3 linked regions of the Struthio camelus genome follow. The protein of the gene in region 3 purifies or fractionates together with the protein of the main gene of each other region. This does not show direct contact. Links are inferred from orthologs where the notes say so. Each region holds a gene or a part of one and is shown on either strand. Other genes may lie near its edges. The genes, in order: LARP1, NCBP3 and SRSF3.

What was found.
Region 1: the proteins of SRSF3 (region 3) and LARP1 purify together in Homo sapiens (co-immunoprecipitation; 3 studies listed by BioGRID and IntAct, with this or other methods). This does not show direct contact. The link is inferred for Struthio camelus from reciprocal best matches to the Homo sapiens genes SRSF3 and LARP1.
Region 2: the proteins of SRSF3 (region 3) and NCBP3 purify together in Homo sapiens (co-immunoprecipitation; 3 studies listed by BioGRID and IntAct, with this or other methods). This does not show direct contact. The link is inferred for Struthio camelus from reciprocal best matches to the Homo sapiens genes SRSF3 and NCBP3.

The regions. Positions count from the first base shown.
Region 1 is NC_090954.1:12,071,022-12,074,765, forward strand, and holds the start of LARP1 (la-related protein 1), read right to left. Parts: upstream 2,941-3,744; 5' UTR 2,926-2,940; coding exon 2,568-2,925; intron 1,280-2,567; exon of another isoform or gene 1,185-1,279; intron 1-1,184. UniProt on the Homo sapiens protein: RNA-binding protein that regulates the translation of specific target mRNA species downstream of the mTORC1 complex, in function of growth signals and nutrient availability.
Region 2 is NC_090957.1:15,832,469-15,836,212, reverse strand, and holds the start of NCBP3 (nuclear cap-binding protein subunit 3), read left to right. Parts: upstream 1-1,117; 5' UTR 1,118-1,620; coding exon 1,621-1,773; intron 1,774-3,421; coding exon 3,422-3,487; intron 3,488-3,744. UniProt on the Homo sapiens protein: Associates with NCBP1/CBP80 to form an alternative cap-binding complex (CBC) which plays a key role in mRNA export. NCBP3 serves as adapter protein linking the capped RNAs (m7GpppG-capped RNA) to NCBP1/CBP80.
Region 3 is NC_090965.1:4,705,346-4,709,089, reverse strand, and holds the start of SRSF3 (serine/arginine-rich splicing factor 3), read right to left. Parts: upstream 2,268-3,744; 5' UTR 2,053-2,267; intron 1,201-2,052; 5' UTR 1,199-1,200; coding exon 993-1,198; intron 431-992; coding exon 296-430; intron 1-295. UniProt on the Homo sapiens protein: Splicing factor, which binds the consensus motif 5'-C[ACU][AU]C[ACU][AC]C-3' within pre-mRNA and promotes specific exons inclusion during alternative splicing.

The sequences.
Region 1 (3,744 bases), on a different chromosome or scaffold from region 3:
CTACGCTGAAAAAATAAAAGTTTTTGACGGTGACTTTCTAGAGTTTAAAACCCACCAATTTGTTTACACATACAAAGTAGTCATTTTTTCCTCAGAAGAGCTTCTGGAAGTCACAGCAACATGAAAATTCACCTTGCCAACATGTCTTCTTCAAACTCACACTCCAAATGTTTTTTTTTGTAAACTTTTACAAAAGTTTAGTTACAAAAGTTCTTCAAATCCTCTACCCAAAGCAGTAAAGACACGACAGGGGCCTACCAAGTTTAGAAGAACACATTCAGGCGAAGGCCGGCTATGCAAGGTCAGCTGTGAGTCTGCCTCTCGTGGGAGAGTCATGGTTATTTTACACGTTTTCTTCTCTGCTAACGAAACAGGCAGCAAAAGAAACAAAGCCCCCAGCGCAAGAGAGCCAAGCAGCAGCGTCTAGGGCAGCAGTGTATGAACCAGACATTGCTGCCAAGCATCACAAACGCACCACTAATCAATTCCATTATTTAAACACCTTCGGGAATACTGGGACACTTCTGTCAAGCCCAACAGAATTCTAGGTGTTGCGAGATTATTTCCTTACCTCACCGTAAGGCACACATGCTCCCCTTAAAAATCGCCTCCTAAGTCGCAAAGACCCCCTCCTCTTCAACTCAGCGTTTGACAGAGCTCCTACCGTTCATTCAGCCTCTATCGCCGCGTTCTCCCAGCTTTGCAAGGGGCCTGGTAACAGAATGCTGTCCTCTATGAGCTTTAAACATGAGCGTTAAAGCCTCAAATAGGAACATACAAGACAGAAAGGTAGAAAGGGACACAGAGAGCACATCTGTATTTACCTAATGTTAAATAGAAATATGTAATTTTAACAGTGAGAAACAAAAAAGATACTGTAACTCAGTAGATGTTGTAGATGTAGATGAGACACGCCATGATGACGTATGGAATAAACAGAACCGGAAAGACACCAGCCCTCAACTCCTCAGCATCCTGTATTATACAGCATTTTTGAACCTTTTGGTTTATTTCTAGGGAACGTTACTCCAGAAAGCAGCGTGATGCAGCCTCACTTTTGCGTAAAGGAGTAACGTCACCGGCTTTATGTCACGCACCAAGAGGCAAACGTAAACAGCAAACTGCTCTAGGTTTTGTTAAGTTATGCTTACATCATTGCATACGATGACAGACCAAAAACCTACCTGAACAGACTTTCACTTGGCACAATTAACGTATCCTCTATTTTCCCCATGTAAGATGACAGCTTTCCAGGTGGAAATCACAGAGCTGTCCATCTTCCAAAAACCAGTACCTCCAATGAATCATCATGTTAGTCTCAGTTCTTGCAAAACGCTAGCACATACAGTAACGAGAAATCTGACGTCATATCTGGCAGTGTTATTTCGTGTTTACAGAGGCTGACTGGAAAAATTAAGAGTCTTTCCCAAACAAGATGTTCACCGAAAACTTCCGTGTTTTCCTCTCGCACCCATGTGGAGTGAGTCGGTGCTAGGCAATCCCTCTCGGTAAAAATGACATCTACTCAACTAACAAGGAAATGGTGTTCTGCAAATTCAGCCTCCGCTTAAAACAGCGGCGGACTACAAACGCACCGTTTGTCCCGTACCGCTTTGACTCGCTCCCGCTGAACGCTGCCCGAAGCGGCCCAGCGCCGCGAGGAAGGCCCCGATACCATGACAGCGCCGCAGCGGGCACTGCTACAGAGCAGCTTTTAAGCCGCCCTGCAGCGCTCACGCCAGCCGGCGCGGAAGGGCAGAGCCGCGGCCACCCCCGGCCCACCCGCGGCCATGAATCGGCAGAGAAAGGCGCCGCCGCGGCCTAGGCGCGGCCGCGGGGGGGAGGGGGGGGGCGCACACGTGGGCAGGGCGCCGAGCACATGGGCGCCGCGGGCCGGGCCGAGCCGAGCCGGGCCGGGCCCCGCCGCCGCCTCCCGGGGCGGGGAGCGCAGCAGGGAGGCCCCGCCGCGCACTCGGGGGAAATCACATGCTCGCAGCGAGCCGGGGAAGCAACCACGTTGCCTGCGCTGCGGCGGAATGCTGGGAAGGGGAGGCCGCCGCCGCCGCCGCGGCGCGCGCGCGCACAGACACAGACACACACGCGCTCACGCGCGCGCGCACACGCGCCGGCGCTCGGAACGTTCGGAACGCGGCCGGGCCGCTGGCGCCGCGGCCCCGTAACGTTCGCCGCGGCGCCGCCGAGCCCTCAGCTCCCTCCCGCCCCCCCCCGGCCCCGCCGCCCCTGCCCCCGGCCTCGGAGCCGCATGGCCACTGCCCGGGCCGCGCCGCGCTCCCCTCCCCCTCGCCCACGCTCCGCGCGCCTCATGGCTACGGCAGGCTCCAACGCTTCCTACTTCCCGGGAGCGGCGCTCCCCCCACCCCGCACGCACACACGCCGGCCACCGGGCTGACACGCGGGGCGCCCCCCGCCCCGGCGCCGCGGGCCGCGCCGTCCCCACGCCGTGCCGCATGGCGCGGGCGGGCGGCCGGGGCGGGGTGGGGTCGGCGGCGCAGCTCCCCCCCCCTTCCTCCTCCTCTCCCCCCCCCCCCGGCGGCCGCGGCACCCACCTGGAGGCGACTGCCCGTTCACCGTCAGCACGGCCGCGGGGGCGTTCTTCGTCCACGGGTTCACCTTGGGCGGCGGGGCCTCGATGAACTCCCGGCGCCCCGCGCCGCCCGGCTCGCCGCCCTCCTCCGCCTCGGCGCCGCCGCCCGCCCGCAGCAGGCTCTCCTTCTCCTGGTTGTTGCTCTCCTCCTTCTGCTGCTTGGCGCTGGGCGGCCGCGGCGCCGCGGGGCCGCCGTCGGGGCCCATGGGCGGCTCGCCCTTCTCCCGGCCGCCGTCCTGCGGCGGCTTCAGCACCAGGGCGCGCTCCTCGGCGGGCAGCAGCGGGGCGCCGGGCAGCAGCGCCTCCACCTGCGTCGCCATCTGCGCGCCCCCGCCCCGCCGGGGAACTCCCCTCGCTCACGGCGCCCCCCGAGCCGCGCCGCCGCCCGCCCTCCCCCCCCCCGTGCCGCCGAGGCAGCCGCAGCAATATGGAGACGCGCGGGGACCACGCGACTGCCGCGGGGGCGCGCGCCGCCCCGGCCCGGCCCGCCCCGGCCCGCGCGCACGCGCGCGCGCGCCACCGGCGAGCGGAGGGAAAGGGAAGGGAGCGGAGGGGCGGGGAGGGGCGGGGCGCGCCCCCGCCCGCCGCCCGACCGGCCGGCCGCGCGCACGTGCCTGATGCAACGCCCGGCGGCGCGGGGGGCGCTTAAAGGGGCCGCGCCGCGGTGGCGCGGAGGTGGCCCGGCCCGGCCCACTCCGCGCACTGCCGCTTCCTGCCCCCCTTCCCCTTCCCCCCCCCGGGCTCCGTCCCGGCTGCCCGGCGCAGACGGCCGGGCCCTGCTTGCTGCCCGCCGGCGGCGGCTCCCGGGGGGGCGCCGAGGGCACCCGCCGCGGCTCGGCCCTGCCCGTGCCGGGGGGGGCAGACGCCCAGAGCCTCTGCAAGAAAATAGGGGAATGTGAACTACCGGGGCATGTAAGGCCTCTTGTTGTATGACTAATAAATGGGGTGAAAGCAAACGCCGTCGGTTCCCGTCGGAGGCGTCGCAGGAATAAAGGTTGTACGCCAGCATTAAATGGTCACGATGTGGTAGACAGCGAAGAAATAGGTACAGCAGTTTGGGTCGGCTCAGATTGAAATAATTCCCCCCAATGGTTGCGCCACAGTTGTGTTATGAGTTTATTCTAGGCTACCAGCAGCAG
Region 2 (3,744 bases), on a different chromosome or scaffold from region 3:
TGTCCATGTTACGTATGTGTGTTTGGTCTCTGCCATAACTGTTCACATCTGGTTTGGAAGTATCATGTTTCTGTGGTTCTTGCCAGATACTAGCTACATGATGTCAGCACCAAATATAGCACGCTGAGGAGTGCAGCTGACATTAGCTGTTGTGTAAGGACTTCTACACAGAGACTGTTAAAAATAGTAAGCCTGGAAGGTGTGACTTGTAGTGAGAAAAAATATTGGTCCCACTGGAGTACGTATAAGGGCAGGAGCCTTTACGTTGCCAGCTACAAAATCTCTCCACACCACGCTGGAAAAGTCAAAATTGGCTACTGAAATTTACTGGGAAGTACTATCAAATCAAAGGAAAGGCGACATATCACAGGGGATAATTTTGAGGGTTTTGGTCAGAAATTGTACAAAATTGAGGAATGGAGCAGCCCAAGAAATATGAGGAATTTCTACTGAAATTGGCTGGATGTGACAACCAAGGTGGATGTGTAACCTGAGCAGGTTAGTTTAAAGTGACTGTGAGCTGCAGATGTGATGCAGCTGACAAAACGCAGCTGCCACGGTGGAATATATCAACTGCGGTGTCTCGCCGCGGAGGGGAAGCGCTGATGCCATTGACTAAAGCCCTAGCGAGCCCTCAGCTAAAACACAGTTCTGGTCTGCTGTGTCCAGGGAAGATATAGCTGAACTACAGAGATTAGGATAATTAGAGGAATGAAGAATTTGTTTCATGATAATGGATCCAAACAGTGTGACTTAGCCCAGTGAAAGGAAGGCCAAGAAGAGCTAGGACTTTTCTGTTAAAATAGCCCAAACTCAGCCCAAGAACAATAGGCTAGAGACTTGCCATGAATAACTTTTAAGCTGGAAATTAGATTTCTTTCATCAGATGTGTAGAAATCCAGAAGGACCTTCCTATAGAACAGAGGGGAGCGGAGAAAAAAAAAAAACACACTAACATTTTAAGGAGTCAGATCATTATAAAAGTCATTGTAGAAAGCAGAGCCTGCGCTGACAAGGTCTGGACCTTACAACCCATCCCCTCCATCTCATTCTGTATTTCTCTGTACAGCATGTATTCTTTTCCCTACGACTTTTCTGCTTTGCTCTAATTTTCCAGACATAGGAGAGCACATGGCGGCGCAGCGGCTCATGTGAAAGGATCCCACGGATCCAAGGCCTGCTCCTCACACTCAGACGTTCAGTGCTGCCCAAGGCGGGGCAGGCATTCAAAATCTCAGCAAATTCACAACAGAAAAATCCACTCAGGGGTATCAGCTGCAAGCGACGCCATTGAGGGCTGGAGGAAGGCGGCGCGCCTGCCTCCCTTCGCCCTTCCCTCAGCGCCCCGAGGTCAGGGCCGCGGCGAGCAGCTGTCTGTGGGGAAAATGGCCGCTTTAGCCCTCTGCCGATCCGTAACGCTGGAGGACCCGCGGAGCCGCCCTCTCACCGCGTCTCTATGGCGCTGAGGCGCACCAGAGCGGGCCGTCGGCGCCGCTCCCGCTCGTAGCCTTGGGTGGCGCTCTATCCGCCTTGTGGCTCGGTGGTGGCTGTGGGCGGCGGCGCTCTGCGCCGCGGCGGGACCGCCTCGCTGGCCGGGCCGAGGGCGGGCCTGGCGGAGCCATGGCGGCTGTGCGGGGCCTGCGGATCTCGGTGAAGGCGGAGGCAACGGCGACAACGGCGGAGCCCCGCGGCCCGGAGCCGGAGCCTATGGAGGTGGAAGAGGGCGAACTGGAGACCATCCCCGTGAGGCGCTCGCTGCGGGAGCTCATCCCGGTGAGGGGCGGGAGGTGGGATCGGGGCAGGGGGGCGAAGGAGGGACCAGCCCCGGGGGAGGGAGGAGGAGGGCCGGGGGCCTGTGAGGGGGTTTGGGGGCGCCCGCGGGGGGAAGGGGCGGCGCCCGCGAGGGGGTTGTGAGGGGATTTGAGGGAGGGGGGCCGGGGGCCCCTGAGGGGAGTGTAGGAGGAAGCGGCCGGGACGTACTTGGGGGGCGCAGGGGGTAAGGGAGTCGGTGGGGAAGGGTTTGAGGGGACTGGTGTGGGGCTGGGGGTGGCAACGTGAGAGGAGTGCTTGGTAGAGGGGACACGGGGGTGACCCTGGGGAAGGGGGTTGGAGGCACTGGGGTACGGGGCTTTGAAAAGCGGGGCTTGAAGGATTTTTTTTTTTTTTAATTTATGCTAATTGCGCCGGATACAATCTAGTGAGGAGAGCTTTAATACTTAAAAAGTAAAAAGTGGGTCGGAGGAGAGCTAAACTCCTAAGTCGTCTGTTTTTTTTTTTTTTTTTTTTTACTCTGAAAACTTCTGTGGAAGTTATTGTAGAAATGATTCTCTAATTAGCTAATGTGCTAGCATGCTTTAGCTCCTACCAACTCTGTGGTCTAAGAGACAGCACCTTACTCCACTTCTTTGTTTTTCATGAGTCAAACCCAGGCAGTATTTTTTCCAGTTTCAAGTAATATATTTTTGTTCCCTGTTGTAATAACTCTTCACGTTTTGCTGCTCCAGAGGAAGTCTGACCTGTTACTAAGAAAAGGGGTTAGATTCTGTGGGCTTTGCTATCTCTAAACTGAGACTGGATTACTTCCTGGAAAAAGTGCTTTAGCCAAAATAATTATTGCAACACAAATGTAAACAACACATTTACACCTACCTGGTGATGGTCCTGAGGGTACCAGTGCCAGAATGAAAAGGCGCCATTGTTACATAAAGCAAACAATGGAAGGGATTGAGTTGAGTGACTGGCCCAGTGTCTATGGGGTTTAGTGCGGTCTTGCAAATTCAGCAGACCGGACTGATGAGAATGAAACTTGTGATTTGTTTTTTTTCCTGCGTTGTTCTTAATATTTACTCTATCAAAAGGTTTGTATCCAAAAAGTTAATGTTTCGTATTACTGGGTTTTTTTGGAAATAAGTTGTAAAATAATGAATGGAAGAGGGATGAAAGTTGCTTGTTTAACTGTGAAAAAGGGTTGGTGTTCTGACTTTGACTGTAACTTGAAGTTGTAAATTGGAACTCTAGGAGTCTGCTATCTTTATGGTCTGAACGTTAAATCTGTTAATGTTTTCCAAGGAGATTATACCTGAAGTTAAAATTGTGGCAATTTTAATTAGAAAAGGTTTTTGATCACTTCCATTGCATTGCTGAGACGGGGTAAGTAAAAACCTTAGCGGTGGCAGATACAGACACTGAATATTACCAAAGAAGAGAGTCTTCATATTAAGGAAGTTTGGTTCATTTGATGTGCACTCTCACTCACGTCAGTGAGAGTTATGTTTATATACCTATTTAGGGATGTAGCTTGGAGTATGGATCAAGAGGATGGATTTCTTGTAGAAATAGCCCCTTTTTTTTTTTTTCAGAATAGCAAGTTTGTTGGTTTTGGTGTTCATCAAGATATCATCACCGTTCTGCTTTATTTCAGGACACTAGTAGAAGATATGAAAACAAAGCTGGAAGTTTCATCACTGGAATAGATGTAACCTCCAAGGTAATTTTTACCCTGTGGTTCTTCAAAGCGTTCTCATTGTTGCTGCTGCGTAGGAGGAAGCATTTCATTCCTTCCTAAGAGGCACAGAAGTTTAGCTTCATGTTCAGATAGGTGGTATTTTTTAACAGCTAGAGAATTCTTCTTTTGTTGGTTATGCTTTGTCTCAGGATGTGATGTCTCTATAAGCTGTAAAAATTAGCATTTTTAAGTTACAAGATTTGTGAAGTCGTAGCTTTATGAATCTGCATCTTTGATTT
Region 3 (3,744 bases):
AAGTATGGGGAAGAAAGGGAAAGTGTGACTAGAAGATGAGCAGATTTTAGGAGGAAAGAGGATAAATCCAGGATAGAGGGCGCTGACTACCAACTTGCACAGTCACCTAAGGACAAAAGCCAACATTCAACACAACTTATGTTCACCTCGATTTTGATTTTTTAGCGTTTGGCATCTCCAAACTGTGATCAGATAGATGAACGTTATCCATCAACATGCTTTAAAAAGCCTGCTTCTACAATGCTAAGTGGTAACAGTGCCAACAGCTCTATGAGGGTACTTTGACCTAGGGTACCTGCGGCGAGGAGGAGGACTTCTTCTGCGATAGTCATCTCGAGGGCGCCGGCCCCAGGACGGAGGTGGACCACGGTTCCGACTCCGTTTTTCACCATTGGAGAGCTCCACTCTGACACGACACCCACAGAGGGTTCTGAAAAAGAAACTGCCATTAGCTAGCACTTCTAGCAACGACCTTGTTTGCAAAAAGGGAAGCTCACAGAATTGGAGAGGAAAGAGGAATGAATAACCGGGGGGGCCGGGGGGAGGAGGGGGAACTCCATCAACATTTTAGCCAAACACACATTATTCAGAGTCTAAAAAAAACAGAAAACACGACCAATAAAAGGTCTGGCCGCTTCTGAAAGCTCAAGCCAAACTACTAAAGCAGGAAGTGAAGGAACCTGGAGAAGCTCCACTTACCAGTTTTACCTCTTTATAGTAACACCATCTTGAACTTAACTGATGTAGATAAGAAGCTCAAGCCATACCCAACTTAAGAGTTTAACTCTAAAATGTAAAATTAACTCTCCCAATGTTACTTAAAATCGGCACTATAAAATACAACTGCTCTTAAATCACTGCACAAGTTATTTTGTGTAACAAGCGCATTAAGCACTTGGCTTTGAAGCTGCCCAGCTTTAAACTCTATCACTAGCTACAGTTTCTGTTATTTCTATTAAGCAAGCCACACACACATAAGAAGCACATTTTACCTTCCATCTAGTTCTCTTACGGCATCAGCTGCGTCCCGTGGATCTTCAAACTCCACAAAGGCAAAACCAGGAGGATTTCTTGCCACCCACACACTGCGCAGTGGTCCATAGTAGCCAAAAGCTCGCTCTAACTCCGTTTTATTGCCATTGTTTCCAAGGTTACCCACATAAACCTTGCAGTCCAGCGGACAAGAGTCACGATGCATTGCTAGGTCAAAAAGAAACAAAAAAGCTCATGTATATTTAACAGACAACAACGGTTTATTCACTTGGTCAGAAAATAATTCAGTTGATTTTTTTGTCCAAGAAACTGCAAGAGCACCGTGATCTGATATATAAAGACAGGCTACCCTAGATATATCATTGTTTGCATGTGGCTGGTGGTAGGGGAGCACCTTGGGGGAGAGCGGGCAAAAAAAGTTGCTGCCTTGCCTTCACTGTTAAACTAATATTAATTTGTTATTTCTGTGTGAGACTGTCTCAGGGAGATCGATTTGTATTGCTTCCAACTTTGAACAAGAGTGTTCCTCTGCGTCCCCCGCCCCAGCCCCCGGGGTTACAGCGGGGGCGGGCCTGCAGGGGGAGCGCTGCGCGGGTGAAGGGCTCCATTGTTCTCGGAGCGGCCCTCGGGGGAAGCTGCCTATGCCGGGGCGAAGCGCGGCGCCATCCTCGGCAGGGACCGTGCCGGGAGCGCTCGGGAAGTGCCTGGAGTCTCCTCGGCACGGCGTGGCGAACCACCGCCACCTCGGAGCGGGCGGCAAGGCGCCACGGCACCTTCGCGGCTCCCCCCGCCCGGCCGCACCTCGCCCCACTGGCCACCGTCGCGGAGAGAGTGCGACGAGCGGGCCCCTCAAGACAATCCGTGGCCTACCCGCCTCTTCCCTGCCCGGCTCGCCGTGGCGCAGCGGCAGCCGCCGCCCGGGGCCCGGCTTTACAAAATGGCGGCGGCTCTTTGTTCGCCGCTGCCGGGCCCCGCCACTTCCATCCGCCCTTCCGGGGACCGGGACCGCCGCTGCCGTTTCCCCCCTCCCCCCCCGCCCTCCGAGGTGAAGGTCCTCACCGATGCTAAGAGGGAGGGCGCGCGAAGGGAGCCCGCGCTAATTTCGTAGCCGACTCGACCCCCAACGAGACTCCCGCTCCGCTTTTCCTCACTGGACAAAATGGCGGCGGGCGCCTACCCCGCCCGCCTTTATATACGGGCAGCGCGCTCTCGCAAGACGGCGGCCGACGGCAAATCAGAGGGCGCCGCTCCGCTGACTGACATTCCGCTTCGTCCCGCCCCCCCGCCGAACACGCCTATTCCCGCCGCGCGGCCCAAAATGGCGGCAGGGCGGGTTTCGTCACGGGGCTGTGGCCGGCGGCCGTTAGTGATCGCCTCCCGCGGGCTGAGGTCCTCCTCTCGCCCCGAGTCCCCCCTTTGGCAGCTGCTTACCGGAGGAAGACCTCAGGCCCCAGAAATAAGGAAAGGGGAAACGCCCCAGGGAGGCTGTCTTGTTTGCTTAAAGGAAAAAGGAGTTTTTCTTTCTTTTTCTCGTTCAGGTGGTGTTCTCCAGGTTCTTGCCCGAATCGTTAAGGTTTTACATATATGATAGCTTAGAGTTGCAAATAGCTACTTATCCCCAAGGGCCGGGCCTTGAAGTAATTACGTGGCAAAACCACTGTTACCCCAGAGGTTTTTGTAGGTTTTATTATGCTTTGGCTGGTGCCTACTGAGGCACAAAGGAGAGAAAGGGCTTATTCGACGCTTGAGAGCAAGTCGGAAGAGCTGGGATTTAAACCGAGGAATTTTAGTTACAGAGAACATAGTCAGAGGACAGCTTTCCGTGGTGGTGATGTGCTTTATTATTACTCTGGCAACAGTCCATAACTGACTGTCCAGAGAGTAGTTAAAAAAAAAAAAACACACAGTGATTTTCTCCAGAACAAACTTCTTATTCTGTGTTATCTCAAGCAACATAAGAAACGCATCAAGGAGAGTTTCTGCAGCAATTTACTAAGATGCCATTTTGCAGCCCTATCTCTAGGTTGTGTTTAATGTACCAGTCTAGGCTTTAGTTTACCTTTTTGACTTGGACTGAGCAAGACAAGTTTATCTGATACATGTGTGGACAGTAATACTGGGAGTATTAAATGGGGTAAGGTATTTTGGGCGCAAATTAATGTGTATGCGTTTTGTCTTCTGACCAGGAATTCCGCAGAGGAAGAGACATCCTCAATCTACTGCAGTTCTACCAGCATGTCAAAATATTTGGATTAAGGACAACCAGCTAACATAATTCATTTGAATTTTCCAAAAATCCTTTTACAGCCTCCTTCATTAGTTCTAAGAGCCTCTTACAAGTAAAAGGCTTGTAAGAATGAAAGTGGGCCAAGTGGCAGAAAACCAACAAGAATTTTGACGTAATCAATGCTCTAAAATAGCTTTAACGTGTGTACAGTTATCTGACAGTTATCAGCTTTAACTTAAGGAAACGTAATTTACTGTAGATTAGCTGATAGTTAATTTCCTGAGACCACAAAAACAAAGGAAATAATTGCAATTAACCATTTGACTTCAAAGACTTCTTTGAGATGGTGATTTCCCATGTTTGCCTCCCTTCCTGACAGGTTTTTGCAATGTTTACTAGACCCTTCTTCATATCACATAACCTACATTTGAAATATCATTTAAATTTTGATATACTCACCAATTTTTAAAAACATTCATCTGGTAAACTCGTAATCTGTGTCAGACCTTTAGCTTCACACCAAA